Linked DNA regions of Canis lupus familiaris. The protein of the gene in region 1 purifies or fractionates together with the protein of each later gene. This does not show direct contact. Links are inferred from orthologs where the notes say so. Each region holds a gene or a part of one and is shown in the gene's direction. Other genes may lie near its edges.

What was found.
Region 2: the proteins of MORF4L2 (region 1) and HDAC1 purify together in Homo sapiens (affinity purification with mass spectrometry; 3 studies listed by BioGRID and IntAct, with this or other methods). This does not show direct contact. The link is inferred for Canis lupus familiaris from reciprocal best matches to the Homo sapiens genes MORF4L2 and HDAC1.
Region 3: the proteins of MORF4L2 (region 1) and SIN3B purify together in Homo sapiens (affinity purification with mass spectrometry; 5 studies listed by BioGRID and IntAct, with this or other methods). This does not show direct contact. The link is inferred for Canis lupus familiaris from reciprocal best matches to the Homo sapiens genes MORF4L2 and SIN3B.
Region 4: the proteins of MORF4L2 (region 1) and histone-binding protein RBBP7 purify together in Homo sapiens (affinity purification with mass spectrometry, with the first as the bait; 3 studies listed by BioGRID). This does not show direct contact. The link is inferred for Canis lupus familiaris from reciprocal best matches to the Homo sapiens genes MORF4L2 and RBBP7.
Region 5: the proteins of MORF4L2 (region 1) and KDM5A purify together in Homo sapiens (affinity purification with mass spectrometry; 4 studies listed by BioGRID and IntAct, with this or other methods). This does not show direct contact. The link is inferred for Canis lupus familiaris from reciprocal best matches to the Homo sapiens genes MORF4L2 and KDM5A.
Region 6: the proteins of MORF4L2 (region 1) and HDAC2 purify together in Homo sapiens (affinity purification with mass spectrometry; 4 studies listed by BioGRID, with this or other methods). This does not show direct contact. The link is inferred for Canis lupus familiaris from reciprocal best matches to the Homo sapiens genes MORF4L2 and HDAC2.
Region 7: the proteins of MORF4L2 (region 1) and ASH1L purify together in Homo sapiens (affinity purification with mass spectrometry; 5 studies listed by BioGRID and IntAct, counting the BioPlex papers as one, with this or other methods). This does not show direct contact. The link is inferred for Canis lupus familiaris from reciprocal best matches to the Homo sapiens genes MORF4L2 and ASH1L.

The regions. Positions count from the first base shown.
Region 1 is NC_049260.1:77,634,330-77,638,141, reverse strand, and holds the end of MORF4L2 (mortality factor 4-like protein 2), read left to right. Parts: intron 1-122; 5' UTR 123-227; intron 228-1,714; 5' UTR 1,715-1,738; coding exon 1,739-2,605; 3' UTR 2,606-3,257; downstream 3,258-3,812. UniProt on the Homo sapiens protein: Component of the NuA4 histone acetyltransferase complex which is involved in transcriptional activation of select genes principally by acetylation of nucleosomal histone H4 and H2A.
Region 2 is NC_049223.1:68,324,423-68,328,344, reverse strand, and holds part of HDAC1 (histone deacetylase 1), read left to right. Parts: intron 1-1,375; coding exon 1,376-1,488; intron 1,489-3,922. UniProt on the Homo sapiens protein: Histone deacetylase that catalyzes the deacetylation of lysine residues on the N-terminal part of the core histones (H2A, H2B, H3 and H4).
Region 3 is NC_049241.1:46,188,722-46,193,249, reverse strand, and holds the start of SIN3B (paired amphipathic helix protein Sin3b), read left to right. Parts: upstream 1-1,656; coding exon 1,657-1,776; intron 1,777-2,020; coding exon 2,021-2,127; intron 2,128-3,399; coding exon 3,400-3,553; intron 3,554-4,528.
Region 4 is NC_049260.1:13,074,016-13,077,937, reverse strand, and holds part of histone-binding protein RBBP7, read left to right. Parts: intron 1-2,315; coding exon 2,316-2,476; intron 2,477-3,207; coding exon 3,208-3,334; intron 3,335-3,454; coding exon 3,455-3,532; intron 3,533-3,922. UniProt on the Homo sapiens protein: Core histone-binding subunit that may target chromatin remodeling factors, histone acetyltransferases and histone deacetylases to their histone substrates in a manner that is regulated by nucleosomal DNA.
Region 5 is NC_049248.1:3,595,772-3,600,488, forward strand, and holds the start of KDM5A (lysine-specific demethylase 5A), read left to right. Parts: upstream 1-1,868; coding exon 1,869-2,033; intron 2,034-4,717. UniProt on the Homo sapiens protein: Histone demethylase that specifically demethylates 'Lys-4' of histone H3, thereby playing a central role in histone code. Does not demethylate histone H3 'Lys-9', H3 'Lys-27', H3 'Lys-36', H3 'Lys-79' or H4 'Lys-20'.
Region 6 is NC_049233.1:70,481,194-70,485,893, reverse strand, and holds the start of HDAC2 (histone deacetylase 2), read left to right. Parts: upstream 1-1,872; 5' UTR 1,873-1,932; coding exon 1,933-2,047; intron 2,048-2,863; exon of another isoform or gene 2,864-2,950; coding exon of another isoform or gene 2,951-3,002; intron 3,003-3,766; exon of another isoform or gene 3,767-4,004; intron 4,005-4,700. UniProt on the Homo sapiens protein: Histone deacetylase that catalyzes the deacetylation of lysine residues on the N-terminal part of the core histones (H2A, H2B, H3 and H4).
Region 7 is NC_049228.1:42,204,523-42,208,444, forward strand, and holds part of ASH1L (histone-lysine N-methyltransferase ASH1L), read left to right. Parts: intron 1-167; coding exon 168-416; intron 417-1,160; coding exon 1,161-1,247; intron 1,248-2,152; coding exon 2,153-2,243; intron 2,244-3,174; coding exon 3,175-3,313; intron 3,314-3,419; coding exon 3,420-3,592; intron 3,593-3,922. UniProt on the Homo sapiens protein: Histone methyltransferase specifically trimethylating 'Lys-36' of histone H3 forming H3K36me3. Also monomethylates 'Lys-9' of histone H3 (H3K9me1) in vitro. The physiological significance of the H3K9me1 activity is unclear.

The DNA.
Region 1 (3,812 bases):
GGAACTTACATATTTTCTCTGATATTACAGTTGCAAACCACATGGTCAAAAAATTAGATTTTTAAAAATTTTTTTCTGAATTAAAGTTTATCTTCATTGCAGATACCTGTTTTCCTTTCTAGGTTGTGTCTTCCACCTCATCCTTCCAGACCATCCCAGGAGATTTGGGAGGTTCCATCTGGGAAAACACTAGGAGTACTTGGAAGGGAAAGAAGGAAGAGGATTATGTAAGTCAAAAAAATTGCTTCCTGTGTCACACTATAAGAATCATAGCCCCCTATTTTTCATCTTTATCTTACTAGTTCCCTCTGCTGCATTTTATACTGTACATTATCCCTTTCCTTTCTTAAAACTCTTTTGACTTATTTGGCTTCCAAAATAACATTCTCCTAATTCTTCTATGGCTGCTCTGACCATTTTTGTGTTGTTTTTGGTCTCTGCTAATCCCTTAAATACCATTCTTTTAGGTTTTTCCAGAATTTCATACTTTGGTTCAGTTTTTCTTCCTCTTCTGTCCATGAATGACTTTGATGGCTTTCCTAGCTTCCAGTAGTAGCTGTGTGATGATTACCCTCAGATCTCCATTTCAGGCTCTGACCTTCACCTGAGCTTTAAAGTTAAATATCTAACTTTACATCTCACACGTAGTAGATCCAGTACTGAAGTTCTTTCCTCTCTAATCCACTTCCTCCTCCTCTAGATGCAGTCTTATTTGGTGATAGTACTAATGACCTAATCACCCATTCTCAAAACCTGGAGTCATCACTGACTTCTCTCTGATTTATCACCTTCTCCAACAAGCTAATACTGACAGTGGTGTCATGTACCATTTCTTGTTTGCTCCAAAATACTCTGTGCCTATAACCGTCATTGTACTAACCTCGTTTTTTTTTTTTTTTTTAAGATTTTATTTATTTATTCATGATAGTCACACAGAGAGAGAGAGAGAGGCAGAGACACAGGCAGAGGGAGAAGCAGGCTCCATGCAGGGAGCCCGATGTGGGATTCGATCCCGGGTCTCCAGGATCGCGCCCTGGGCCAAGGGCAGGCGCCAAACCGCTGCGCCACCCAGGGATCCCTAACCTCGTTTTTTTAATTGTCACCTTAGATTTAAACCCTAGGACCTAGCATAGTATCTGTCCCAAAGCAGATAGGCAATAATGTATGATAACTAATTGAATAGATGCATTTGTACAAAGCCACCTTTGACTGCTCCCTCTTCTTCATTTACCAATTTCTGTATTCAGTTTCCCTTGACTCTGTCATCACCCTAGTTCAGGATTACTTGGACTCCTACAAAAACATTTACTGCTACTCATTTTGCCTCCAGTCAACTAATCTTTCTTTGTTCTTTTATCTTGTCATTTATCCTGTTCAGACAGTTTTAATTTCAATTCCACTGCCTTTTGTAGTTTCTTTTCCATTTAATTTATTTTTTTTCTAAAATTATATTTCTGTCTTTGGAGTGGCACCAAAAAACTAACTTATGGGCAAGTCTGATGAGCGATTGGATGGGGTGAGTAGTGGTTGGTAGTGAAAATCAAAAAGAGGGTGGAAGTAGTAAGTCAGTCACTTACAAATGATCCTGAACTAGGATTTGAAATCTAAATTCCAAGAAAATAGCTTGTGTTTTACTGTGGTAGGCCTTTATGAAGTAATATGTGTTAAAGGTCACGATAGAAAACAACGAAGTAAAATATTTTATATATTACAGTGGTTGGAATAAAAACAGGGTTGAATGAGTTCCAGAAAGCAGGGTTCTCAAACTCGTGGACAACAATCTGCAGAAGAAGACAACTTCAAAAAACCAACTAGAAGTAATATGCAGAGAAGTAAGATGAGAGGGGCCTCCTCAGGAAAGAAGACTGCTGGTCCACAGCAGAAGAATCTGGAACCAGCTCTCCCAGGCAGATGGGGGGGTCGCTCTGCAGAGAACCCCCCTTCAGGATCAGTGAGGAAGACCAGAAAGAACAAACAGAAGACACCTGGAAACGGTGATGGTGGCAGTACCAGTGAAGCACCCCAGCCACCTCGGAAGAAAAGGGCCCGGGCAGACCCCACTGTTGAAAGTGAGGAGGCATTTAAGAATAGAATGGAAGTTAAAGTGAAGATTCCTGAAGAATTAAAACCATGGCTTGTTGAGGACTGGGACTTAGTTACCAGGCAGAAGCAGCTGTTTCAACTCCCTGCTAAGAAAAATGTAGATGCTATTCTGGAAGAGTATGCAAATTGTAAGAAGTCGCAGGGAAATGTTGATAATAAGGAGTATGCAGTTAATGAAGTTGTGGCAGGAATAAAAGAATATTTCAATGTGATGTTGGGCACTCAGCTGCTCTACAAATTTGAGAGGCCCCAGTATGCTGAAATTCTCTTGGCTCACCCTGATGCACCAATGTCCCAGGTTTATGGAGCCCCACACCTACTGAGATTATTTGTAAGAATTGGAGCAATGTTGGCGTATACGCCCCTTGATGAGAAGAGCCTTGCATTATTGTTGGGCTATTTGCATGATTTCCTAAAATATCTGGCAAAGAATGCTACATCTCTGTTTACTGCCAGTGATTACAAAGTGGCTTCGGCTGAGTACCACCGCAAAGCCCTGTGAGGGTCTACTGACCACTCACTGTTATGTCTGGTATCTGTAAACACTCTTTTCGTTCTTAGTCTTTTTCTTGTATAATTGATGTTCTTTAAAATTGTTAATGTATAACAGGGCTTATGTTTCAGTTTGTTTTCTGTTGTGTTTTTAAACAGAAAATGAAAGGAGTACAAGCTCCTTTTCTCATTTCAAAGTTGCTACCAGTGTACGCAGTAATTAGACGAAGAAGAAACATTCAGTAGAACATTTTATTGCCTAGTTGACAACATTGCTTGAATGCTGGTGGTTCTATCCCTTTGACACTACACAATTTTCTAATATGTGTTAATGCTATGTGACAAAATGCCCTGATTCCTAGTGCCAAAGGTTCAACTTAATGTATATACCTGAAAACCCATGCATTTGTGCTCTTTTTTTTATGGTGCTTGAAGTAAAACAGCCCATCCTCTGCAAGTCCATCTATGTTGTTCCTTAGGCATTCTATCTTTGCTCAAATTGTTGAAGGATGGTGATTTGTTTCATGGTTTTTGTATTTGAGTCTAATGCACGTTCTAACATGATAGAGGCAATGCATTATTGTGTAGCCACGGTTTTCTGGAGAAGTTGATATTTTAGGAATTGTATTTCAGATCTTAAATAAAATTTGTTTCTAAATTTCAAAGCAAGTATTTTGCAGCATGCCTTTAATATTATTGAGGCTGACTAGTCCGCGGGCTCGGGAAAGATCTAGGTGGTATCAGAGAGTTCTGACTCCCAGTAAAAGAATTCCTTTTTCTGTTGGGTGTGGCAGCCAGGAGTATGCTGTCATTGCCAGTTCCCCTCCTCTTCCCTCATTGTGGCTTCTCAGAGTGACTGCTTTCTAGTGCTGCTTATAAGAACTCCTTGCCCCTGTGAATTGGGCTGGCATAACAGAATATTTAGTGGATACTATAATAGTTCCTTACACTTACGCAGAGCTTTGCTCTTGACCACAAAAGAAAATATGGGCAGCCACCTTCAGAAATACTTAACAGATTTTGGACCAAGGATGGCCGCTTTCCCTAGTTCCAACATTGAGTTCATGTTCTGTTTTTATAATCCCTTAGACATAATAGTGGGAATCTAGAGTAGGGGATTTGTGGAGGAGGGTTGATGGATGTCTATGATTATAAATCCATTCTATAAGGAAATTTACCAAACCAAGTTTTGTTTCATGACAGTGTTTTTTTACTTC
Region 2 (3,922 bases), on another chromosome or scaffold:
GCTATATGGGTGGGTCTCTGTGGCAACTGTTTACTCAACTCTGCTATTATAATGTGAAAGCAGCCATAGACAATATTTAAGCTAATGGGCTTGGCTGTGTTCCAATAAAATTTTATTTACAAAAAAACAGGCAGCTAGTTGTATTTGGCCCAAGGGCCATAGTTTGCCTTTTCTGTTTAGAGTAGAGAGCTGGGAGAGGGAGAGAGCAGGAGAGGGAGTGTTGTGAGTTGAATGCCAGGCTAGTGAAGTTGTTCTTTATCCTGTAGAAGATGGGGAGTCATTAGGGGTTTTTGAGCAGGGGAATGGTGTTATTAAAGCTGTGTGTTAGAAAAATAACTGGTCAGTGTGGCAGATAGTTTTGAGTTGAAGACAGAGGAACCAATTAGAAGTCTATTGCTATAGAGGAAGCTAGAGATGATAAGAGTTTAGTTTTCTTATCTATACAATAGGAATAATACTCCTGTTTTACCAGGTTCTTGTGAGGATCCATTAATTTTTTTTTAAGATTTTATTTATTTATTCATAGACACAGAGAGAGAGAGGCAAAGACACAGGCAGAGGGAGAAGCAGGCTCCGTGCAGGGAGCCTGATGTGGGACTCGATCCTGGGTCTCCAGGATCACACCCCAGGCTGCAGGCTGCGCCAAACCGCTACGCCACCAGGGCTGCCCCTGAGGATCCATTAAGAAAGTAAATGTAAATGTGCTTTAACCCCATAAAGTGTTTTAATATGAAAGAGGTGAACTGTGACTTATAATAATTCTGAATAGTAATGGTTATTTTTCTGTTGTGGGAGTGAATTCTTTGCAGATACGGTGAGGTGAATCACCTTGTTGCCTGCTATTCTCCAGTAGCTTTGGAATGAACCGTTTTTACACTGTGTAGTGCCTGTCGGCTAGGCTTATTTTTTTTTTTAATTTTTTAAATTTTATTTATTTATGATAGGCACACAGTGAGAGAGAGAGGCAGAGACACAGGCAGAGGGAGAAGCAGGCTCCATGCACCGGGAGCCCGACGTGGGACTCGATCCCGGGTCTCCAGGATCGCGCCCTGGGCCAAAGTCAGGCGCTAAACCGCTGTGCCACCCAGGGATCCCATCGGCTAGGCTTATATCTTTAAGTGCTGGACTCACCAGAGTCCCCTGCTTTTTTTGTTTGTTGTTCCTGTTTTGTTTTGTTTTATTTTTATTTTGTTTTTTTTTGTTTGTTTGTTTTATTTTTATTTTGGAGTTAACTCTTCCTCAAGGTGGGTGAGAATCTTGGGGACTAGAACGAAAGAGAAAGAATATGATTAGGAGATGGTTATAAAAATTCCTGGATTCTCCTGGGAGTGTATGTCTAACTGTGTCACTGAAACTGTCACTCTTTTTTCTTCAGGGGATGTTGGAAATTACTATTATGGACAAGGCCACCCAATGAAGCCTCACCGAATCCGTATGACTCACAATTTGCTACTTAACTATGGTCTCTACCGAAAAATGGAAATCTATGTGAGTTACTGGGACCCCCACCACTCCCTAACCCCATCAGCTCTAGTTATGTTATCTCATTTTCTCAACTACTCATTCATCAGATGTGTCGAATGGGCTGTTATGTGGCAGACATTGAAAGAGATTTCTGTTTTTAAAGGGTTCGCTCCAGTGCTGGAGACTGACAGGTACACAAATAAATTGTACTACAGTCTGAGGGCGTACAATTAAATAATGTACAAGATACAGAGATAATGAAAAGTGAAGGAGGAAGGGAAGCCTTGGAATGTTTCCTGGAGGTACTATCTGAGCAGAATTTTAAATATTGAATAGAATTTAGCCAGGAGTTCAGGAGGGGACTGACATTCTAGACCAAGGGAAGAGTGTAAACAAAAAGGCAAAGAGGTAAGAACAGTATGGTGTGTTTGGGGAAACTATGAGTAGTTTCTAGGTAGTGCTATAGTGTAAAGGTCTCACGGGTGTGAGTAAAGGGACCTACAGTTGGAGAGGTCAGCAAGGATTGGATATGCTGTACTATGTAATAAGCAACTCTGATGGGCCAGGATTTAAAAAAAAAAATCCAATGCCTAAAAAAAGAGCAATTGGGACTATGTTGAGCTAGACAAGTCCCTAATTACTAGAGAGCATAGACTCTAAACTGCTTGACTCAGTTCCGTCTGATTTTTGCCCACCTACCGGTTTTTATTTTATTTATTTATTTTTTAAAGATTGTATTTATTTGAGAGAGAGAGCACAAGCATATGGAGAGGGATGCCTCCACTGGTGGTGCCCCCACCATCAGTTTTTAAAGAGAAGTTAGGGATCCATATTATTCTGTAATGTGGGGCCTGATCTCAAGACCTTGAGATCGTATTCTGAGCTGAACCTGAGAGTTGGACACTTAATTGATTATGCCACCCAGGTGCTCCAAAGATTTTTTTTTTTTAAAGTAATCTCTACACCCAGTGTGGGGCTGAAACTTCAACCCCAAGATGGTGAGTTGCATGCTCTACTGACTGAGCCAGCCAGGCATCCCCAAGTAATGGATTTTAAATCAAAGAGAGATAAAACAGGTATGCATTTTATTTTTATTTATTCTTAAAATATTTTATTTATTTATTGGGGGGGTGCAGCTGGGTGGCTCAGTCGGTTAAGTGTCTGCCTTCGGCTCAGGTCATGATCTCAGGATTCTGGGATCGAGCCCCACATGAGGCTTCCTGCTTCTCCCTCTGTGCCTACTTGTGCTTTCTCTCTCTGTCAAATACATTAAAAAAATGAATTAAATTTTAGAAAATAGAGTTAGTGGGTGGGAGGGAAAGGGAGAGAGAATTTGAAGCAGACCGCATTGAGTGCAGAGCCACACATGGGGCTTGATCCTGCAACCGTGAGACTATGACTTGAGCTGAAACCAAGAGTTGGATGCTTAAACCGACTGAGCCACCCAGGTGCTAAGTAATCTGCCCGGTATGGGGTGAAAACTCTCAGCCTCGAGATCAAGAGTCACATGTTCCACCAACTGAGCCAGTCAGGAGCCTCCAGGCATGCATTTTAGTAGGGAAGCCAGTTAGGCTGTTGCAAAGGTCCAAATGAGAAAATAAAGAAGGGCTGGGAGCCTATGTTGCCTTATGGTTAGAGCCTAAGAGTCTGTGGTTAAAGTCTGTGCTGGCAGCTTAAGTAACCTAGCAACAGCAGTATCCTTCCTCACCATTCCAGAGACTGAGAGGAGATGAGTCTTCTGTCTCAGATGGCCCTGTTATGTCCCTAGAGCCACTGGAGGCAGCTGGGGAAGCAAGGAGGGAAGGTAGACAGAGGAGCAGGCAGATGTGGGACCAGAGACCTTTGTCAGGTGTGAAAGGCATCTGAGAATGAAAAACATAAAAGGTAGCAGACAGAGGTTTTGAGGGACTCTAGGGAGTAGACTAGCATTTAGATAAAAAGAGGATACCTGAATGTGGAATAGCGAGCGCCGAGACCTTCCAGAGTTCCCTCTTATACATCTATACCTTGCTAATCTGGCTCTAGCTTGCCTCCTTTTCTGTCACTCCCCTCTCAGAACCCTCAGATCAGATTCTGCCTCTTTCTACCCCATCCTGACTGGGAGGATTACTCTGCCCAGTCATATTTTACTCATCTTCAAAAGTTACCTCAAGCCCTCTTTCTCTCTTTCATTCAGTATATATATATATTTATGATAGTCACACACAGAGAGAGAGAGAGAGAGAGAGGCAGAGACACAGGCAGAGGGAGAAGCAGGCTCCATGCACCGGGAGCCCGACGTGGGACTCGATCCCGGGTCTCCAGGATCGCGCTCTGGGCCAAAGGCAGGCGCTAAACCACTGCGCCACCCAGGGATCCCCTCATTCAGTATATTTTTGTTGAATACTTGTCATATTCCAGGAACTATATTAAACTCCATGAGTGATACTGAAGTATTAAAAAATGGATCCTATCTTCA
Region 3 (4,528 bases), on another chromosome or scaffold:
TTTCTGGGTAATGAAGAGACAGAACAGGACTTCTGACAAGGGAAATGGTGTGTGCTGATGCATAGGGCCAGGAAGCAGCCAGGCCGGGCAGGCACTGACAGAGGTTCCACACAGGTAGAGAGGGTGGGTGGGAAATTCTGCAAAAGGAGGTTCGTAAGGGCCAGGTTCTTACTAATGTAGGAAAGACTTTAGGGTTTGAAGCCAACAGCTACAAAAGGATTCTTGAGACATCTTTGGTGCAAAAAGGTGACTTTATTATTATTATTTTTTAGAGATTTTAATTATTTACTCATGAAAGACACAGAGAGAGGGAGAGGCTGAGACACAGACAGAGGGAGGGGCAGGCTCCATGCAGGGAGCCGGATGTGGGACTCTATCTCGAGTCTCCAGGATCACGCCCTAGACCAAAGGTGGCGCTAAACCGCTGAGCCACCCGGGATACCCAAAAGGTGACTTTATTAAACCATGGAGACAGACCTGTGGGCAGAAAGAGCTGCCCCAGGGTTATGAGGAATGGCTGATTATATACTTTCAGATTGGGAGGGGGTTAGGGACATCGTAAGTCTCTATGGAATGTTTGAAGCAAGGTTTCCAGGACCTTGAGGGGGCTAGCTATTGTTGGGAAGAGTAATCTGAGTCATGAGACCCTTCAGAGATATATTGCTGGGTATTATGCTTGGGGGATAATTACCAACATATATCTTGGTGCAGGCAGAGATAAAGGAAGTTTCCAAAAGAATTTTTATATGTTCAAGTAGACTTACAGGATCCTGGGAGTTGGGCTAAGATTGCTTTTTGCCTGTTAGGAAAAAGTATTACATCAACATGGAGGCAGTTGAGTCCCTAGAGGAAGGTCACTCGTCCTGTTTCAAGGACTTCTCGATGGGCTGTAAGTATTAAACACATCTAATAATTTTTCTTTTGTCTTTGTTTCCCACATCATTACGGCCTTCAATCCTGCACATAGGTGCTTAGAGTCCATCTCACAAGAAACAAAGAAGACCCTGGAGGTTTGGAAGCAGCTGTGGAATGATCCAGTGCTTTACAGCACCAGGGCTAGGAGAACTGGTTAAGAGACTCCTGAACTGTTCCACTGGGGAGATGATGGGATCAGGAACCATCAAGAACCAGTTAGCAAAAATGCACTTCACAGGGCCCCTGTGGTGCTGTGTGCCCCTGGCCCATCCTCACATCAACCTCATAAAGCAGGGGTCTACAAATATTTTTTAGCAAATATAACAGGGTCTGCACATCTTAGGGTCTATCACGGCTACTCACCTTGCTGTGGAAGCGCAAGAGTAGCCACCGATGATAGGTACACGAGTGGGTGTGCCTGTAAATTTTATTTTACAGAAATTTCACGTGTCACCAAATAGCCTTCTCTTTTGAAATTTTTCCAACTTTAAGAAATGTGAAGACCACGATGAGTTCGCTAACTGGAACCGGACAAAAAAGCAAACGGCTGGGTTTGCTCAGCCGCACTATATAAGGCGTTGGTTAGCAGTTCAATTTGGGGAGTAAAGTCCGGGAGCAAGTCCTTCCAGGGGCCACGCCCCCGCGACGTCATCGAGGCCGCGCCCCCTCCGGGGCGGAGCCTGCGCATGCGCGGCCGGCCCTCGGGCGGGGGCGGGGCGGGCCGCGGCTCCGACTTCCAACATGGCGCACGCTGGCGGCGGCGGCAGCGGCGGCGGCGGCGGCGGCCCCGCGGGCCGGGGGCTGAGCGGCGCCCGCTGGGGTCGCTCGGGCTCCGCGGGCCACGAGAAGCTGCCGGTGCACGTGAGTGCTGCCCCCGCCGTCCCTCGGGAGCCCCGTCGCCCGGCCCCCGCGGGCCGATGCCCCTCGCCCGGGCCCCGCCCGGCCCCGCCTCGGCCTCCACTCCGCACGGCCCCCGACCCCAGCCCCCTGACCCCTAACCTTGACTCCCCGGAGGCTCGGCCCGCCCCCCTCCCCGCCAGGGACCCCGGTCCTCCGTCCGCTCCTCCGCCGACCCCCGCCCACCGGGACCCTCCCCTCCCCGCAGGTGGAGGACGCCCTCACCTACCTGGACCAGGTGAAGATCCGCTTCGGCAGCGACCCCGCCACCTACAACGGCTTCCTGGAGATTATGAAGGAGTTCAAAAGCCAGAGGTACCCGCGGGACCCCTTCCCACCCCGGGGGGGCCGCCCTGGGCCGCGATCCGGCCGAGCGGGGTGCGAACCCCCATCCCGGCCCCCTCTCCGCCCCAGTCGGGTGACCTTGCGCAGGTCGTGGAACCTCTCAAGAGCCTGGGTTCCTTCCAAAAGACGGGAGCGGAGAGTACCCCCCTGTGGAGCTGTTGTGGGGATTCCTGGAAGGAGAGCGGGGATGGGGTGAGGAGACAGCAAGAGAGAAGTCCGCAAGCGCAGCAGGAGTCGGGTCCTGTCTTTACTCAAAAGGATGTTTAAAATGAATTTTGTCCATCAAGGATTTGTTTAATTAATTTAAAAAAAAATTTTAAGCACTACGTTAAAATTATTGGTCTTGGTTATTGCATGTTTTGGCACCCTCTCCCCCTTCAATCTTGTCTCCAAGGTGAGTGCCTCACCCTCGGCAACCCCCAGTCCCAGGCTTGTTGGAAAGTAATGCGCATAAAATGCTTTGTAAGGGGTCTGGCACAGAAAAAGGATTGAAAACACACCAAGCTGATTTCTGTAGGCGCACAGGAGGGTTAGAGCTAGATAGGGGACCTCAAGATCATGCCATCCATTAACCGGAGGCTTACTTTGGCTTAGAGTGGGCCAGAGGCTTGCCCAGACTAGCCTTAGGGGCAGTCAGGACTAGAACTTGGGCACTCTGACTCTTAGATTCTCAGCGGTCCCATCACCACCGTGCTGCCTCCCCCTCCCTGAGGAAATCGGGCAGGGCTGGCCTGATTTCCTTCCAGGAGAGACCAGCTAAAGCTTTGAGGGAGCCCCACTGCAGCCATGGGGACGACCCCCTGGCGTTGTGCAACCCATGCTTGCAGGGCCTTTGGTATTTATGCTTTGCCATCACTTGCTGGGATCCACACCTGTGTCATGGTTTATCACATTGCTTAGAGGGCTTTGGCCTCCTGCCACTTCTTGGAGTCCCGGACTTTCACTTGGCTCTCCTGACATTTTCAGAACAGAACGCGTGTGCTTGGAGTGTTTGGGGTAGCTGTGCCATGCAGATATCCTGTGGTTCTCCATAGGAGGGTACAGGGAGCCCAAGGCTGGCTGCTGTGGAAGTAGATGACACATAACACATTGGCTGAATCACACCGGTCACATTGCAGGGTGCTTTGTTGTCCTTCGAGAAGCTCATTATTAGGTGGCCCTGTCAAGTGAGTTGGGAGTAGATTTTGCTTTCAGTGTGCTCCCCAAGACACTCCTGCCCACTCTCGTTCTCTTTTGTTCTAGCATCGATACGCCTGGAGTCATCCGACGCGTGTCACAGCTCTTCCATGAACACCCTGACCTCATTGTTGGATTCAACGCTTTCCTTCCCCTCGGGTACAGAATAGACATTCCCAAGAATGGCAAGTTAAACATACAGTCGCCTCTATCCAGCCAGGTATGCCGCTATGGTGGTCTGAGTGAGTTGGCCCTGACATGGTGCACCCTGGTACTCAGGTACCCAGGTCAGGCAGCCCATCTTGTGTATCATCGTGTTGCTGGAAAGCCAGCGAAGATCCAGTCTTTTTCTAGACACGCTGCTCGCTTCTAGCACAGGTCAAAATAGATCAAAATACCTATCCAGCCAGCCTCTTTATCCCAAATCGATCCGTTTGGAGGATTCAGATAAGAGTGGATGTGGTTGTTTGTGTCAGGGGTATTCTCTTAGCAGTTTTATGTCCTGTCAAAATAACCACCCCCTGTCACCAGGCTCTTATCCTGAGGCGTTCCCGTGACATGCCAGGTAGGCCACACTTGTACTTCGGTATGTGGTTGCTCTGATCATCCTAGGTGCCCGCCGCAAAATAAAGTAGTTGAGATGTGTGTGTGAATAGCCGTTTTGTTGTTGCTGTGCTGCATTTAATTGCCAGCAGGGTCGGTGGCTCAGCTTAGGCTTGTGGCTTTGGCTCTTTATGTCTCAGGTGGTGGCTCGCTGCCTCCTATATCCCTGTAGTCCCTTCTTGCCTGAGCCCACCAGACCCTCTGAGCAAACAAAAACCTTTGTGAGCTTTACTCTTATAAATTAGCCATTGCTTTTCCTCCACCTTGGCCCTGTTGCCATAAAGCCGTGCTACAGGGGGTGCTGTCTAGTGCATCTGGAGATGTTTTGTAGATTCCTGACTCCACCCCCTAGGCCCTTACCCCGTGGCGACAGCCAAAAGTGTCACCAGACATTGCCAGATGACTCCTGGGAGCCATATCACCCCCATCGAGAACCACTGGTCTGCGTGAACCAGCTCTTTCAATCTCTCTGCCTCTGCTCCAGGGTTTTGGGTTTTAGAAGGGATATAAAAAAAAATCTACCACGGGAAGCGTTTTGTTGTTTCTGCCTCTGATGAAGGAGATTGCAGTTTTGTATCAATTCAAGAGTCAG
Region 4 (3,922 bases), about 65 Mb from region 1:
ATATCCTCCTGTCTAGAACAGGCCTATTGCATCACAGACCTTCTTTTATTTCTACTGGTTACAATTTCTGTTAAGCTTTTTTAAATATTGAAAGTAGGTAATTGGTTCAGTCAAGATTCTTTAGCTGCAAGCAACCAAAACCAACTCCGGCTGATGCAAACAGAAAAGGAATTTATCAGAAGGGTGTTGGGTAGGGTAGCTCACAGAATTGCTTTGCTGGCTAGAAAATGGCCCAGAACAGAGAGGAGAAGCGGGTGGGTGTTACTCTCCACTTTGTACCCCCCCACACACTTGGCAAACATGAGAACAGATTTCCCTCTTAATGTTCACAATTTAAAGTCCTGGTCAGGGGCACCTGGGTGGCTCAGTTGGTTAAGCAACTGCCTTCAGCTTAGGTCATGATCCCGGGGTCCTAGGATCAAGCCCTGCATCAGGCTCTCTGCTTCTCTCTCTCTCTGTCTGCCTGCTATTCTCCTTGCTGTATGCAGTATATCTCTCTCAATCTCTCAATCTCTGTCAAATTAATTAATTTAAAAAAATCCTGGTCAGACTGATGTAGCCACTATCATGTCCTAGCCACGAGGGAGGCTGAGAAGTGAGGGTCTCCCTTAGTTCTCCAAAAGGAAGCTTTCCTCCACTTCCCTCAAAGTGGGTGTGGTAGAGTCTCTGAAACGGAATGGATTATGCTCAGTAACTTTATTACTAGTGCCTTTTGAAGACACCACGCTGGGATTTGCTAGTTATAATAGCTGACGTTTTCTAAGGGCTCTGCATGTGCCAGGCTTCTTGCTCATCTTCCCAGGATCCTTCTGAAATGAGCAGGAAAGGATGTCAAGAGCTCTATATATGTTCCTTTTTCTTCAGTGCTTGTAAATTGTCTGAGTGTATATCAACAAAGACTAAGGGTGTATTCTGTAAAACTATTTTTTTTGTTACTGAGTACATAGCTATTACTGGGAAATAGCTTTGTCACAGAAAGTCTTTCAGATAAGAAAGTGATTTTCAAAGAGATGAAACCCATACCAGTCAGTGGAATTGTTGGGGCAAATATGTCTTAGTGGAATTACCTTTTAAACCGTTTGGATGATAATCATTGTCCCATAGCTTGTAATATTTTTTCATAAAAACTTTCCTGTTAACTTTGTAATGGTTTTCATTTGAAGAATCAGATCCCAGAGCCTGCTGATCTGTGATCTTTGAGGCCTGGGAAAGGCCCATGGCCTTTCCTTGGATTTTGCTGAAGTATTGAGGTCTGTGCTGTGGGGATCTGTCAGCAGGCCTTAAGCTTTGGCCTCTCAAAGTAGCCTAGTTGGGGTTTCTGGATTTTTCACATGTTCGACTTCCTAATGTTCCACTACAAATAGTGGTTTCTGCTGTGAGGCGAGAGAATTATCCAAAGATTTTTCTTTTTTTAAGATCTTATGTAATTTATTCATGAGAGACAGAGAGTGACAGAGACATAGGCAGAGGAAGAAGCAGCATCCCTGTGCGGAACCTGATGCCAGATTCCATCCGGGACCACAACCCTAGCCAAAGGCAGATTCTCAACCACTGAGCCGCCCCCGCCTTTAAAGATTTTATTCATCCATTTTACAGAGCCTTCATGAGCACAAGCAGCGGGAGGGGAGGGAGAGGGAGAAGCAGACACCTTAATTTCCAGTCTCCCAACCCTGTGTGAATTTTTAGGACAGGAGTATCTGTTCAGTAAATACTGAATATTGGACTCTTAGTGTTGCATTGTGTAATCGAGATGAATTTTAAAAGATTTTATTTATGTATTCATGAGAGTCAGAGAAAGAGAGGCAGAGACACAGGCAGAAGGAGAAGCAGGCTCCATGCTGGGAGCCTGATATGGGACTCGATCCCAGGACTCCAGGATCACGCCCTGGGCCAAAGGCAGGTGCAAAACCGCTGAGCCACCCAGGGATCCCCTCTAGATGAATTTTAGATACTTGATTGAAAGTATGTCAGTAGAAACTCTACCTCATTGTCTATTGCCTGCCATCGTGCCTGGTTTCTCTGTCCCCGTTATCATATACTTTCCTTTTCCTTGCCCTCTGCATCTCAGGTGATGAAAGCTATAAGCATACTCTTGTGTTTCTGAAGCTTCACTTTGTTTATATTTCTTCTCCCTTGTGTTTATTTCTGCCTTTATATATATAGTTAGATAATTTTTAAGTTTAAGTGATCTCTACACCCAGCATGGGGCTCGAACTCACACCTCGAGATCAAGATTCACTCTTCAGACTGAGCCAGCCAGGCACCCCTAGTTATATAATTTTTTAATGAAGATTGTTTGTTTTTTCCTTCTTTAGACTGTCTGTCTGTGGGATATAAATGCAGGACCAAAGGAAGGCAAGATTGTGGATGCTAAAGCCATCTTTACTGGCCACTCGGCTGTTGTAGAGGATGTGGCCTGGCATCTGCTGCACGAGTCATTGTTTGGATCTGTTGCTGATGATCAGAAGCTTATGATGTAAGGTGGAAGGTTCAGTGGGGTCTTGATATATGGGTGTCCTGAATGATCAACAGTGATTGTGGTGGCCTATGGTTTGATTTTTTTTTTAAGTTATATACTGGCCTTAAAAGCTTTAGCTTGACATACAAGAAACAACAAGTGTAACAGCTTTTTTTTTTTTTTTTTTTTTTTTGCATAGAAGATACTGTGCTCTATGAATGAACATATTTTTTTACTTGAAAAAAATCTACAAATGTAAAGAAACATTCTTAGTGGTATGTGTCAAAATTAGGGTCACAGTGACTTTGAAGATGAGGGCTAAAAATGTTTGCATCAGGGCATGGCTACAGGCTGCATTCAGCCACCTAAAATGTGTTTTATTTCATAAAGAAACTAGTATCTGAGGCAAATGTGGCTAAATAGTAAAATATGGTAAGGTTGGGTTGTAGGTATCAAATTGTTACATTATTCTCCAGTAGTTGTGTCTGCTTGAAATATTTGGTAATAAGACAGGAATCTGAAACTGGAAATGATAGCCCTAATTTATTTTCTGTGGGTTTAGAATATGTCACTTAGTGGCTGGAAGTCCAGATTGGCAGCTTTGTATGTGATTAGGGTGTCCATGAAGGGGTGAGCATGGCAGAGTAAGGGTGGTGTGGAGTGGTGCAGACCTGGAAACGGGCATGAGAAACTGAGGAGGGTTGGGTGGCTTCTGCTTGTGCTGTGTGCCTTGTGTCTTTGTGTTCTAGATGGGACACCAGGTCCAACACCACCTCCAAGCCAAGCCACCTGGTGGATGCACACACTGCCGAGGTCAACTGCCTGTCCTTCAACCCTTACAGCGAGTTCATTCTCGCAACTGGCTCTGCGGATAAGGTTTTTTAAGTTTTTGTATATTTGATGTTTATGAATCCAGTTGTCTTGTGCTATAATCAGATATTCTAAAATTCTTCGTACAGTGCAGAAATGAATTCCTTTTCATTTATTTTTCTTCAGACTGTAGCTTTATGGGATCTGCGTAATTTAAAACTAAAACTGCATACCTTTGAATCTCATAAAGATGAAATTTTCCAGGTATGTGACAGTTTTCTCATGTCTGTCAGGCTTTTAGTAACTCTTTGATGGTGGGAAATTTAAAATCTTACTGGCTTTATAGCAGGCATGATATTTGTTTTAAATTCCTCTTCTGTATATATATGTTAACTAGTGGGAAGTAACTTGGAGCTATTTGAGATTATTACATTAGAAGTAGAAAAATCTTGCAAAACAGGATCATTTTAAAAAGTGAAATTCAAGGATTCTTTAGTTAAGGTGTCCAGTGTGGTGCATTCTCTAGTGAATAAAAATACCTTGTATGTGGTTTCAAATGGAGATTTGCTTAGGTTTAAGATACACCTCATTGAAAAAGTGAAAAGCTTCTGGATTAGTTATGGGCTTATTAATAAGCGTATGGAGGTTCCTAGC
Region 5 (4,717 bases), on another chromosome or scaffold:
CTGAGCTATCACAATTCAGGGGAGAAATTAGGATCATGATAATGAAGATGAAGAAGCAATGGATAATTTAAAATCTTTAGGTGACATAATCTCTAGACTTGACATCCGATTGTACATAGTAAGGGAGGAGTCAAGGATTAATATCTAGATCTCTGGCTCAGGCAACTGAGTAGGTGGATGAAATCATTCATGAAAACTGGGAACACTGTAATAACTGTGCGTACTTTTTAAAAAATTTTATTTATTTATGATAGTCACAGAGAGAGAGAGAGAGAGAGAGAGAGAGAGAGAGAGGCAGAGACATAGGCAGAGGGAGAAGCAGGCTCCACGCAGGGAACCCGACGTGGGACTCGATCCCGGGTCTCCAGGATCGCGCCCTGGGCCAAAGGCAGGCGCCAAACCGCTGCACCACCCAGGGATCCCCCAACTGTGGGTACTTTAATTAACTAAGTGGGCTTATCTAGTAGGTAGCTAGATGTACTGTTTGTTTTTTAAGATTTTATGTATTTATTTGACAGAGAGAGGGGAGTGCACAAGGGCGAGTTATAGAGGGAGTGGCAGGTTACCCGCTGATCTGATCGGGAGCCTGGCTAGGGTCATGACCTCAGCCAAAGGCACTTGTTCAACTGATTGAGCCATCCAGGCGGCCCTAGATGCACTGGTTTGTAATGCAAAAGAAAAATCTTGGCTGGAAATACAGTTTTGGGAGTCATCAACCACAGTTGGCAATAGGTCCTGGGGTAGCTGTTGCACAGGGAGCCCGAGAAAAAGCCCTGGAAAGAAGCCTTCCTTCCAAATATCTAATGCTGGAACTACCTTTTCACGGTTTCTTCTTTAGTTCTTTCTACGTTATTGCCCACAATTTGAAGTAACGGGAGAAGTACCTTGGCTTAAAAATTTTTGACAAGCAGGATCAGACAGTTGCCACAGCTTTTACAGCGTACCGAGAAGGGTTTAGGGAGCGAGTCAGCAGAGTACAGTGCTTGCTGTTGAGATGACTCGGGGTCAATGCTGGAACAGCAAGGTCAGGAGCGGTGGCTTCCACGTGCACAAAAAACAATTCCTGGGCCGCGGCTGAGGCCGGCCGGCAGGATTTGGGGGACAGATAGGACCCGAACCTGTCGTCATGGAGACGAGGCAGCTAGAAAGCGGCCGAGGGAGAGGGTTCGGAAGGGATACACAAGACTGAAGAAAGAGATGCCGAAAAAGCTAGTTACGTAGAAAAAGGCAGATGCGAAGGTTAAAACCAGCCGCGATACCGGGACCGGGGGACAGCACCGCCCAGGGCTGGCTGAGCTTGTTTTCGTGTGGTTCATACACAAAAGGGAACAGAGCCCTCCTCCCGGAAGCAGAACCTCTGCCCTCTGGGGCTTTACACATTCCTCCGCGCCGGAAGAGCGCGGCCCCGAGCCTCGGAGGCTTCGCCCTCAGCGTTGTCTTCCCTGAAAGAGAGCCCGCGGGCCCTTGGGGCCGGGCCGCCCGAAGCTGTGGAACGGCGCCGACCCGCGCACACCCGCGGACCAGGAACCCTCCCCGGTTGCGGGCAAAGCCAGGAAGGGGAAGGCCCTGCGCCGAGGCAGCGCGTCGCGGCGGAGGGATTCTGTTTCTGTGGTGGCGGCGGCGGAGGGATTTGACGGTACCTGAACTTCCGGAAAAGTCCTGACCCAGAGACGAAAAACCCCGAAGGAAACAATAACAAACGAGAAGAGGAAGCGACTGTGGGGTTGGGTTCCTGTGTGGAGCGGTTCTGGTCCGAGACGATGAGCTTCGGCCCCTGTCAGGAGACGTGAGAGGGTTCGGTGGCCTTCGACCAGCCTTTCTCCACCTGTTCTCCCCCCCGCCCGTCGGAGGGCCCCCCGGGTGTTGCCATGGCCGGCGTGGGGCCGGGGGGCTACGCGGCCGAGTTTGTGCCGCCGCCGGAGTGCCCAGTCTTTGAGCCCAGCTGGGAGGAGTTCACGGACCCGCTCAGCTTCATCGGCCGCATCCGGCCTCTGGCAGAGAAAACCGGCATCTGCAAAATCCGACCGCCCAAGGTACCGGAGTCCGGGGAGACGGAAGGGGGAGTGCTTTAGGTTTACTTTCTTTTCTTTTTTAAAAAGATTTTATTTGTTTATGAGAGATACACACACACACACAGAAAGAGAGAGAGAGAGAGGCAGAGGGAGAAGCAGAAGCAGGCTCCACGCAGGGAGCCCGATGCGGGGCTGGATCCTGGGACTCCGGGATCACGCCCTGGGCCAGAGGCAGATGCTCAACCGCTGAGCCACCCAGGCGTCCCTAGCTTTACTTTCCCGGTCCTTCTTCCTTTTCATATTTACTCTCTCGTTTCTCAACAATTAGAAGCTAGGTTTCTGGGTGTTCTTGGTTTCTTTTGCAGGCTTCTGTGGTAGGCCTGTCTGAGCGCCAGAGCGGTGTCCCACGGGCCTTCCTGCCCAGAACTTGGGAGCTGGTACTTCTATTCCCCTTTGATTGTAGGCAAGGGTAACAAAAGACTTCGGGCCTTGCGCTGGCCGAGGAGGTGCTCGAAGTGTTAGGACGTGTTGTACCCTCGTGTACTGTGCTTTCTCCTTAGGATGCTAGAGTAAAAACTGCCTTTACACTGACTTTTTGTTTTTCTAATCCGAGTCCTACTAATGGTTGATTTAGTAAATATTTGCAAGCCTCATTTCAAAGGAAAGATTTCTTAAACGGTAATCTGAGATCTAGTCGTCCCCTAGAATGGGATTACCAAACAAGAACCCTAGACTGTGTTGCCGCAATGAAAAAGTCTTCCCAGGGGACGAGAAGGTGCAGCATTTATTTTAGAATTTGGTGGTTTAAGAGGAACTCTTTTGACATAAGGAACCAAGGTTCAAAGATTTATGAATTGCAATTATTGCAAGTAACTGTTTGCCTGTAGGTTTTTTATAATCCTCAATCTTTAAGGAAAGCAGATACTACTCCTTTGGGGGCGTTAGTGCCCCAAGAGGTTGAGTGATTTGCTCAAGGTCAAAAGATTTTTTTTCTTTACCCATGAGACCAACGTTTTTCAAATGCTGTTCCTGGTCCACCTGCACAAGGCTCAACCAGCTGCTTGTTAAAATGCAGATCTCCAGGCCCCTTTTTCAGACTAGAATAGATTTCTGGATGTGGAAGTTCTAGAATGTGCTTTTTTAGTAAGTACTCTCAGATGATGCTTAATGCACATTAAAGTGTGTGAACTATTGCCTTCGGTGCTTCTTAAAGGGACACCTTGCTTTATGTTTTGTCTATTAGTTATAAGAATAAAGGATGAAGTACTGTTTTCGTGTTGCATTTTAGAAAGCGTCTGCTCTCACCACAAACTACCACAGTGGTGTGCACCATAGAGAATAAAAAGAGCTGAAGCTAGGAGGGAGGAGGAGAAGCTAATTTAGCACCTACAGATTATTTCACTTAATATTCTTTAAAGCCCTAGTGGGTAAATAACATCTCATTTTACAGATAAGACAACTCTGAATAAGTTATATAACTTATCAAATGAATGATCTTGGGTGTGTGGCAAAGTAGATTTTGAACCTAGATCAATCTGTTTTATTCTAAAACCCAGGCATGCTACTACACCTGTTTATGCTTAATGAATTTGATTAAGATTTATAAACGTTAATTACAGATGAAAGATTAAAAGCTGATTTCTATGACGAATGATGGCATATGCATTGCCAAAAGCATCATTTAACTTCTGACATTTAATTAAAAGCTTCATTTAACTGTTGAACTATCAAAATTACCTAATACTGGCAAAACTTTAAGCTCTGAAGTTTTTCCTAAACCATATATTTTTTTTTTTTTTTTTTTTTTTTTTTTTTTTTTATTTATGATAGTCATACAGAGAGAGAGAGAGAGAGAGAGGCAGAGACACAGGCAGAGGGAGAAGCAGGCTCCATGCACCGGGAGCCCGATGTGGGATTCGATCCTGGGTCTCCAGGATCGCGCCCTGGGCCAAAGGCAGGCGCTGCGCCACCCAGGTCCTAAACCATATTTTCATCTACTCTGTTGCCTTTATGAGTTAGAAATTGTGTTCAGGATTCCTTTAGTACAAAAAAAATAGTTCATTACTAAAAAAAGATGGAAATAATATACCTTCTCTTTGTATGTCTTATTATCATTAAAAATAAATCTTGTTTACAAGCAGAATTTAATTTCAAAATTGATGTTCTTTGGTTTCTAAGGTAAGGAAAATTTTTTTGACTACTTCTCACATTTTTAAGTAGATTTACTATTATTTAGTCCAAATCAAAATATGTTTTCTAGAATCCTACTTGAATTGTGCCAGCCCATTTCAGTTATACCATAACTCCAATCTGGAAATTGCCCTTATTCTGTGAATTTGCTTACTTTTTAAAAAAATATTTGGGTGTTGAGAAACCAGGCTTTGAACAAAACATTTATGTAACACAGACTGTAAAGTGCTGTGTCACATTACCCATGAAAACAAAAAGATATTAACCAATTATATAAGTACTTTAAAAATCACCTTTTAATCTTCAGTTTTACCCTTTTTAGTTTCTTTCAAATTCTGTTTTATTTTTCATTTAGTAAACTTGGGAGGTTTATTAGACCCTGTTGTGATACACAAGTTCACTGCATTCCACTTGATTAATTGGGGAAAGCATAATTGTGGGTTATAAAGGATGGGACTCCTGAAATTTGAAGAGGATTTATAGATAAAATACTTTTAATAAGACAGTATGAGAGA
Region 6 (4,700 bases), on another chromosome or scaffold:
GCATCCTATGAAATAACCATATTCTCAACTTGTTTCCTTCTCCTATATGTTGTCTAAAACTCTCTTTTTTCCCTAAGGGTAAAACGTTTGATAGAGAGGAGTCTGAATATGGTAAATGAAATTTGCGCTTGTCAAAGTTTCAATAACTGACTGTATGTTAGTTCTGATCATCTAAAGTTCATTATAGATGTTTAGGCGCATACTTCTCTTGGCCTGCTCCTATTACCAGTAAGATATCCTTCTCTAATGCCAGTTTCTCAGGGTAAAATAATTGCGTCTATTAGTTTGAAATTATTAAATGATAGATAACAAGTTCCTCAACAATAAAAACGTATGCTCAGGCTCTTCCCACATGTCGGAGGTGAGCTACTGTACATGCAAAGAATGATCATTATTATTACTTGTATTGTAATAATCCCTTTTTTTAAAAGAATATTTTATTTATTTATTCATGAGAGACACAGAGAGGCAGAGACACAGACAGAGGGAGAAGCAGGCTCCATGCAGGGAGCCTGATGCGGGACTCGATCCCGGGACTCCAAGATCACGCCCTGGGCCAAAGGCAGGCGCCAAACCACTGAGCCACCCAGGGATCCCTGTAATAATCCCTTATATTCACACAGTTCTTTAATGTTTAAAAATGATTCAAAAAAAAATGATTCCATGTTTTCTTATTCGAGGGACTCAATATTCACATGGGGAATTATTCAAGTAATACTGCCTCATTTTACAGATAAGGCAAATTAGACCAAAAAATGTTTAAGCGACTCGCCCCATGTCGCGAGCATAGAGATGTAATTACATTCAAAACAGACATAGTCCTTAGTCTTGTTAAACTCTATTCTGATGAGAAGTTCAGAGAAGTTCAGAGAAGTTCAGAGAAGTCGTGAGCAACCTCCGCATGGTATGGAGCCAGGGCGCTAGGAGGCCCCAGGACAGACGATGGGAAGGGCAGAGAGGCAGGCCCCAGCCCGGGAGGTAGGTGAAGTCAGGGAGATTTTCTTGAGGACCATAAAGTCCCATTTCAGCCTTCACTCTGTTGGTCCTGAGAATAGAGGTTTCTACTTAGAATCTACCAAACTGCTTTGGGACTTGAATAAAACTGTGAACGTCAGTATCTTGTAATTAACCTTGAGCCCATGTTTCCCACCCTGCTGCCCCCCTACCAGCCGCGTGGGTTGCATGGAGCGCTTGTTCAAAATACAGACTTGGCAGGAGGGGTGGGGAAGGGATTACTTTGGAGTTTTCTAGAAACTTTTTGGGGTGAGATCCAGGAAAATTACTGCTTTAAGTATAAACACCTTGGGGATTCTGAAGTCAAATAGCAAAATAAAGAAGACATTTTTGGTAGTGGCTCTAAATGGCTTCTGCTCCAATAAGGCTTTTTTTTTTTTTTGGATGAGTACCTGGAAAAGTGTATTTGGGGTATTTGGGAAGGGATTACTTTGGAGTTTTCTAGAAACCTTTTGGGGTGAGATCCAGGAAAATTACTGCTTTAAATATAAACACCTTGGGGATTCTGAAGCCAAAGAGCAAAATAAAGAAGACATTTTTGGTAGTGGCTCTAAATAGCTCCTGCTCCAATAAGGCTTTTTTTTTTTTTTTTTTTTTGGATGGGTACCTGGAAGAGTGTGTTTTGGGGGTATTTGGGTACTTGGGGGGGGGACTGTGAAAGATACAGTTGGGATGAGAGCGCTACTTTGCAGATTGTCAGTGCCCCCAGGCCTCACGTGCAAGGTGTTGGCTTAGACTAAGTGCATGCTTGATGCATGTTTGTGGATTCGCTCATCGGGCATCAGTATTTGCAACTTCCATGAGTTTTGCAAGCGCTGTCTTTGGGGTTCCTGCTCCAACCTTCGGGCGCCCGGCCAGGAGCAGCTGCAGCAGCTGCAGCAGCTGCACGAGGGCGTGCAGGTCCGGGAGCCAGACGGAATGCACCGGGACCCGGGTCCTGCAGCCGGCAGGCCCGGGTCCCCCCATCCGCGCTCCGGCCCACAGAGGGGGCGGCGACCGCGCCTGCGCCCCGCGCTCGCTGGGGTCTCGGCAGGTCTGTGTCGTGCACGGGACGGGCTCCGTGCAAATGCTGCCAGTGCACAGGCTGAGGGCTGTGCCGTGCGCCCCAGTGCACATGCGTGCCCTCGACACCCCTTCAAACCCAGGAAGTACGGCCTGCAGCCGACTGGCCCTATTAGGTCCCCCTATGGGGTCGGGGCCCCGGAGCAACTAGCAAAAAGGAAAAGGGAAGAGAGAACGAGCGCAGGGGCAGGCGCGGCGGGCCGGGCGGCCGAGGGGGCCCGAGGGGTGCAGGCGGGGCTCCCCCCCCCCCCGGCGGCGGCGGCACGTGGTCGGCCCGCGCGGGAGCTCCGCGCCGTGGGGGAGGGGAGCGCGTGGGCCGGCGCCGAGGGGCCCGGCGGCCGCTGCAGCCCGGCGGCCGCCACTGCGCAGGCTCCGGCCGGGCGCAACCACCGTGCGCGGGCGGGGGGGGGGGCGGCCCGCGGCGCCGCGCTCCTCCGTCGACCGGCCCGGCCTGCCGCGTCTGCCTCCGCCGCTGCCTCCGCCGCTGCCCGGCCGCGTCGCCGGTCGACCGCAGGCCCCCCGCGTCCGGGCCGAGGGCCGCTCCCCGCCCGGCCGCCCCCGCCCGGCCGCCCCCCCCCCCGCGAGGCCGCCGTGGACGCGCCCGCCGCCCCTCGGCCCCCGGAGGTGGTTTGGCCGCCCCCGCCCCTCCCCCTCCCCAGTGTCGCGCGTCGGCGCCGCTGCCTCCCCCGCTCGGCTCCGCTCCGGCCCGCTCGGCCCGCTCGGCCCGCTCCCGCCCCGCGGCCTCCGCGCCCAGCTCCGCCCGCAGCCGCCCCCGCCCCCGCCCGCCGCGGCGCTAGTGTCCCCGCCGACCGGGCGGCCCGGCGGCAGCAGCAGCAGGCGGAGCGGCCCGAGCCCGAGGCGGCGGCGGGAGCCCATGGCGTACAGTCAGGGAGGCGGCAAGAAGAAAGTGTGCTACTACTACGACGGTGAGCGCCGGGGCGGGGGAGCGGAGGGACGGGAGGGACGGGGCCGGGAGGGACGGGGACCGCGGAGGGCAGGGGAGGGGAGCGGAGGGACGGGGCCGGGGACCGCGGAGGGGAGGGGAGGAACGGGACGGGGCCGGGGACGCCCCGGGACGGCCCGCCCGCCCGCCCGCCCGCCAGGCCTCCCCCTGCCGACGCCCCCTTCCCGCCCGCCCGGCCTCCCCCCTGCGCGCCCCCCCTGCCTCCCCCTGCCGCCGCCTCCTTCCCGCCCGCCCGGCCTCCCCGCCTCCCCCCCCCCTGGCCTCCCCCCTGCGTCCTCTCTGCCTCCCCCCCCCGGCCTCCCCCCTGCCCGCCGCGGCCGTGTGGGCCCCGCTCCGGCCCGACCCCTCCCCCCGGGTCAGGGCAGCTCCCCCGGCCCGGGCTCCGCACAAAGCCCCGCGGCCCCGAGGGCCCCGCCCCTCCCTCCTCCCCTCCCGGGCGGGGGCCGCCGCCGCGCTCGGCTCCGCGCTCCGCCCCCAGCGTCGGCCGGGCCCCCCGCCCCGGTCCCCGCCCCGGGTCGGGCTGCAGGGCGGCCCCGGGCCCCCGCTCCCCGCTCCCCGGCTCCCGCGCCCCGGCCCCGTCCCGCTCCTTTGTCCGCCGCCGGCCCCTTCGGGCGCCCCTCGCTCCGACTGGGAGGCGTGAGGCCGCCCTGGCTCGGCGGGCGGGGCGGGGCGGGGCGGGGGCGCAGGTGCCCCCCGCGGGCCCGCCCAGGCGCGGTCACCACCCACCTCTTTGTTGCTCTTTGTTCGGTCAGGAAATAACACCCGGGCGTCGGGCTTGCGAAAGCCGCTGCCGGGCGCTGGGAGTTTCGGGTGGGAAAAGTTCGAGGAGGGCCGGGTGAGCAGGTGGGCAGGTGGGCAGGTGAGCCGTGAGCAGGTGGTGGACAGGTGAGCCGGGGTGCGGGTGAGCAGATGGTGGACAGGTGAGCCGGCGGACAGGTGAGCCGGTGGGCAGGTGACCAATGGGCAGGTGAGCAGGCTGACAGGTGAGCCAGTGGGCAGGTGACCAATGGGCAAGTGAACCGGTGGGCAGGTGACCAGTGAGCAGGCGAGCAGGCAGACAGGTGAGCCAGTGGAAAGGTGAGCCAGGGGGCAGCTGACCGATGAGCAGGTAGGCAGGTGAGCCTGGGGGGGCAGGTGACCAGTGAGCAGGCAGACAGGTGAGCCGGTGGGCAGGTGACCAAGGGGCAGGTGAACCGGTGGGCAGGTGACCGTGAGCAGGTGAGCTGGTGGGCAGGTGACCAGTGGGCAGGTAAGCTGGTGGGCAGGTGGCCAGTGAGCGGGTGAGCAGGTGAGCCTGTGAGCAGGTGAGCAGGTGACCGACCGGTGAGCAGGTGACAGGTGAGCAGGTGGGCTCCAGCCGTGCGGCCCGCGGCGAAGTCGGCTGCCCCGCCGTGTGGAAGCAGAGATGCCGCGGCCCGGCGACCTGCAAGCCCCGCGGTCCGTCCGAGGCCCCTGCGCGGGGAGGGGGCGCACCTTCCAGGCCCAGGTCACCAGACGTGCGATTCTACCTTGAAAGTGGCCGGGTCGCGTCAGGTCGGTCCGCAAGGCTGAATCTCGACGCCCGATTATGTAAAATGACCACCTGCGGCACTTATGGAAAAACTTAAAAACGATACATAAGAAACCTAGATAGTTTGGTAGTTGACGGCCGGTGCCCAAC
Region 7 (3,922 bases), on another chromosome or scaffold:
GTGTGTGTGTGTTGGAAGCCCTGCCCCTAGCATGGGGCTCAAACTCACCACCCTGAGATCCAGAGTTGCAGTGCCACAAACTAAGCTGGTGGCCAGACATCCCTCTTCAGGTACATTTTTAAGCCATGTTGAGAAGACCGAACATTTCTATGTTCTGCTTTCTTCAGAAGTACTACGGGCGTAAATCCCCAATTGGGAGAGATGTTTGCCGTCTACGGAAGACCTACTACAACGCCAGGCATGAGGCATCAGCCCAGATTGATGAGATTGTGGGAGAGACAGCAAGTGAGGCCGACAGCAGCGAAACATCTGTCTCTGAGAAGGAGAACGTGCATGAGAAGGATGACGATGTGATCCGCTGTGTCTGTGGCCTCCACAAGGATGAGGGCCTCATGATCCAGTGTGACAAGTGCATGGTGAGCCCTGAGCAGGGCACAGGCCTGCTCCTTGGGGGCATGGTGGCCACCTGGCAGAAGGCCTCTGGGCTTGATTTGCCTGCTGTACAGGAACTTTAGCTCTGCCTTGGTGTCTCCCATCTCTCACTATTCACCAGATTGCCTTTCTCCCATTTTATACCTCTTTAATTTGATCCTTCCCTTCCTTTTCCACATCTTGTTCTCTCTGCCCCCTTCCCATTGTTCACATCTCACATAGTCTGGATCGAGGAGGATGCTTTTGTGCAGGATAGGAGCTCCTGATGGAAGAATGTCTGAGCCCACCACCTTACTGAAATGGGAAGTGGAGCCTAGGGGGGTAGGGCCCGCCAGCAGTCTGGTTGGGTGGGGGGGTAGGGGGGGTGCTGCAGTTAGGCAGCTGCCCAGAGAAGCATCATGTGGCTATGGCCCCCCCCAAACAGCCTGGGCACCGGTGCGTGCTCCTTAGTGCTACATTCATTCATCCTCTTCTTCTCTGTCCAGCTCCTCACTTCATTTTCCCAGATGTATATATTATGAACCAAACAATATACATGTGTTCAGACAGGTTCCTACTGTTTCTCTCCTATTTCTCACTCCCCGACTTATCCCTTAGTTCCTGTTTGACTTTATCCTGTCCTGCTGCAATTCTTTTTTTTTTTTTTTTTTTTTTTTTTTTAAATTTTTAGCTCCCAGCACTTCTCTCAATAAGTCCAAGTCCTCCCTCAACTACTGTTTTCCCCACAGGTATGGCAGCACTGTGACTGTATGGGGGTGAACTCAGACGTGGAGCATTACCTGTGTGAGCAGTGTGACCCGAGGCCTGTGGACAGAGTAAGCTGCCCTCTGCTGATACTCTGATCTACACGTAGGAGGTTTAGCACATGCTATCTTACCTGCCCAGCTCCTGATGCACTGAATTTACTTTGATAAGTTACTCAACCTGGACCTTAGTTTCTTATATTTAACACTAGGGTAATAATTCTGCCCTTTCTTTTCTCAAGTGTGTGGTCAAAGGGGAAATAAAATACTTAGAAACCTGTGGAAGGAATGGTACTATATAAACACTGTCAATTTTCCATGAGGGAAGTACTTGTGAAGTCCAGAACTCGAGTACTGTAAATATCTCTTGTGTTAAGCAATGTTGACGTGAAAGGAGCATGATTCCGAGTCAACACAGGTTAGTCTTAAACCCTTCCAGGACAGATGGTGGATGGGGTAACTTGCCCAAGTTACTAAGTGAGTTTTTGTCCTGGTTCTGCTATGTTTATACGTGTGATCTCGGGCAGGTCTTTTCTATGAAGGGAAGTGTTTTAGGCGGTAGTTCTTAACAGCGGTGTTGTTATTTTGAGCGGACATTTCTGTGCTGTGAGGGAATGTCTGACTTCCCTGGCCCTTGGGCACTGAACGCTGGTAACTTTTCTGAGTCATTATGACAATCAGTCCCCTTCACACATTATCATGCTCCCAAGGGGGTATAAGAGCAGCCACATAGTTAGTGCTTTATGCAGCTAGTTTGGGATACTTGGCCTGTCAGGTTTGTTCTCTGCCTTCACACTCCCAGTTCAACTTCAGTTGCTTTCATCTTTGTTCGCATGTGTGTTGTGTTGAAATGACTAAACAGTAAGTGTTAAGTTGTTTGCAAATTCTGGGTTTGAGGTCTTTTCCTCTTGAATGGAAATCAATAGGCTGGATATAGTCACTGCAGCCCTTATCTGTTAGCTTTCCGTTCTTACCAGGAGGTACCCATGATCCCTCGGCCCCACTATGCCCAGCCCGGCTGTGTCTACTTCATCTGTTTGCTCCGAGATGACCTGTTGCTTCGTCAAGGTGCGTACACAAAGCTGACTTTACCTTTCTGAGTGCAAGGAGTATCTGCTCTCTGCATAGTAGTTATTGTCACCACATGACCTTGAATTCAGTTGACCCTTGGACAATGCAGGGTATAGGAGCCACCAACCCCCTCCCCATGGTCAGAAATCCACATATGGGGATGCCTGGGTAGCTCAGTGGTTGAGCATCTGCCTTTGGCTCAGGGCGTGATCCTAGAGTCCTGGGATCAAGTCCCGCATCGGGCTTCCTTCATGGAGCCTGCTTCTCCCTCTGCCTGTGTCTCTCCCTCTCTGTCTCTCTCTCTGTCTCATGAATAAATAAATAAAATCTTAAAAAAAAAAAAAAAATATGACTTTTGACTCCTCCGAAACCTAACTAATAGCCTACCGTTGACCAGAGACTTACTGATAACATATAAATAGCCAATTAACACATATTCTGTGTGCTACATGTATTTATATACTGCATGCTTACAATAGAGTAAGCTAGAAAAAAGAAAATGTTAAAAAAAAAACGTAAGGAAGGTTTTTTTACATTATATCTACCGTAATTCATCAAAAGTCTGAGTATAATTTGACCCATGCAGCTCAAACCCATGTTGTTCAAAGGTTGACGGTATAGGTTTGTATGTACTTCAGTCCTTAGGCTTTTATACATTTCTCCTCCACCAAATAAAAATTAGGAGAAACCAGGAGATCATAAAGCTAATTTTAGGACTGAGAAAAACATATAGGATTCTAAGAGATGGGAGACCTCCCTCGTGCCATTCTCATAGTCTAGAATTGATGTTCATCGCCATTAGACTCCCAGTTGTAGCTCTCTGTATCTGTTGTTTTAGATTTCCAGCCCTTCTGTGTAGACCTTGGGTCGGACCAGTGGGCATCTAACAGTTCACAGGCATCATTTAATTTGTCCTGTGCCTTCCTAGGTGACTGTGTGTACCTGATGCGAGATAGCCGGCGCACCCCTGATGGCCACCCAGTCCGCCAGTCCTACCGACTGTTATCACACATTAACCGAGATAAACTTGACATCTTCCGCATTGAGAAGCTCTGGAAGAATGAAAAGTATGTGTTGAGGTCCTCTCTCTTCTTCCAGCTCTGCCTTCCAGCACAGAGCTGAATATCGCCTAGGATCTTGCCAGTTTACTAAACCTCTCCCTTTCTTCCTTAGAGAGGAACGGTTTGCCTTTGGTCACCACTACTTCCGCCCCCACGAGACCCACCACTCTCCGTCACGCCGCTTCTATCACAATGAGCTATTTAGGGTACCACTCTATGAGATCATTCCCTTGGAGGCTGTGGTGGGGACCTGCTGTGTACTAGACCTTTATACATACTGTAAAGGTAAGTGACCTGAGCTGCTGAAGAAATGACCTCCTGTCCCCTAATCCTTGCTCTGCAATTACCACTCTGTTCTTACTGTTCCTGTCTGATCAAAGATTGTCCCAGACCAGCTGTGAAGCTTCTTTTACCTAGCACTTGGTACTCAGTAAATGTTAATCCTCCCTCTTTTTTTAAATTTAGTTAGCATTTCTTAATAATGTGTACTTGGCATTCTATTAGTATCATCACAATGTATGTTTTTCCACCCACCCACTCCAAAATCCCAAAGGCCAGCGTCAACTCTGGACATTAAACAAATCAAAAAAGCACACTAGCCTTTTAAGCTCTATG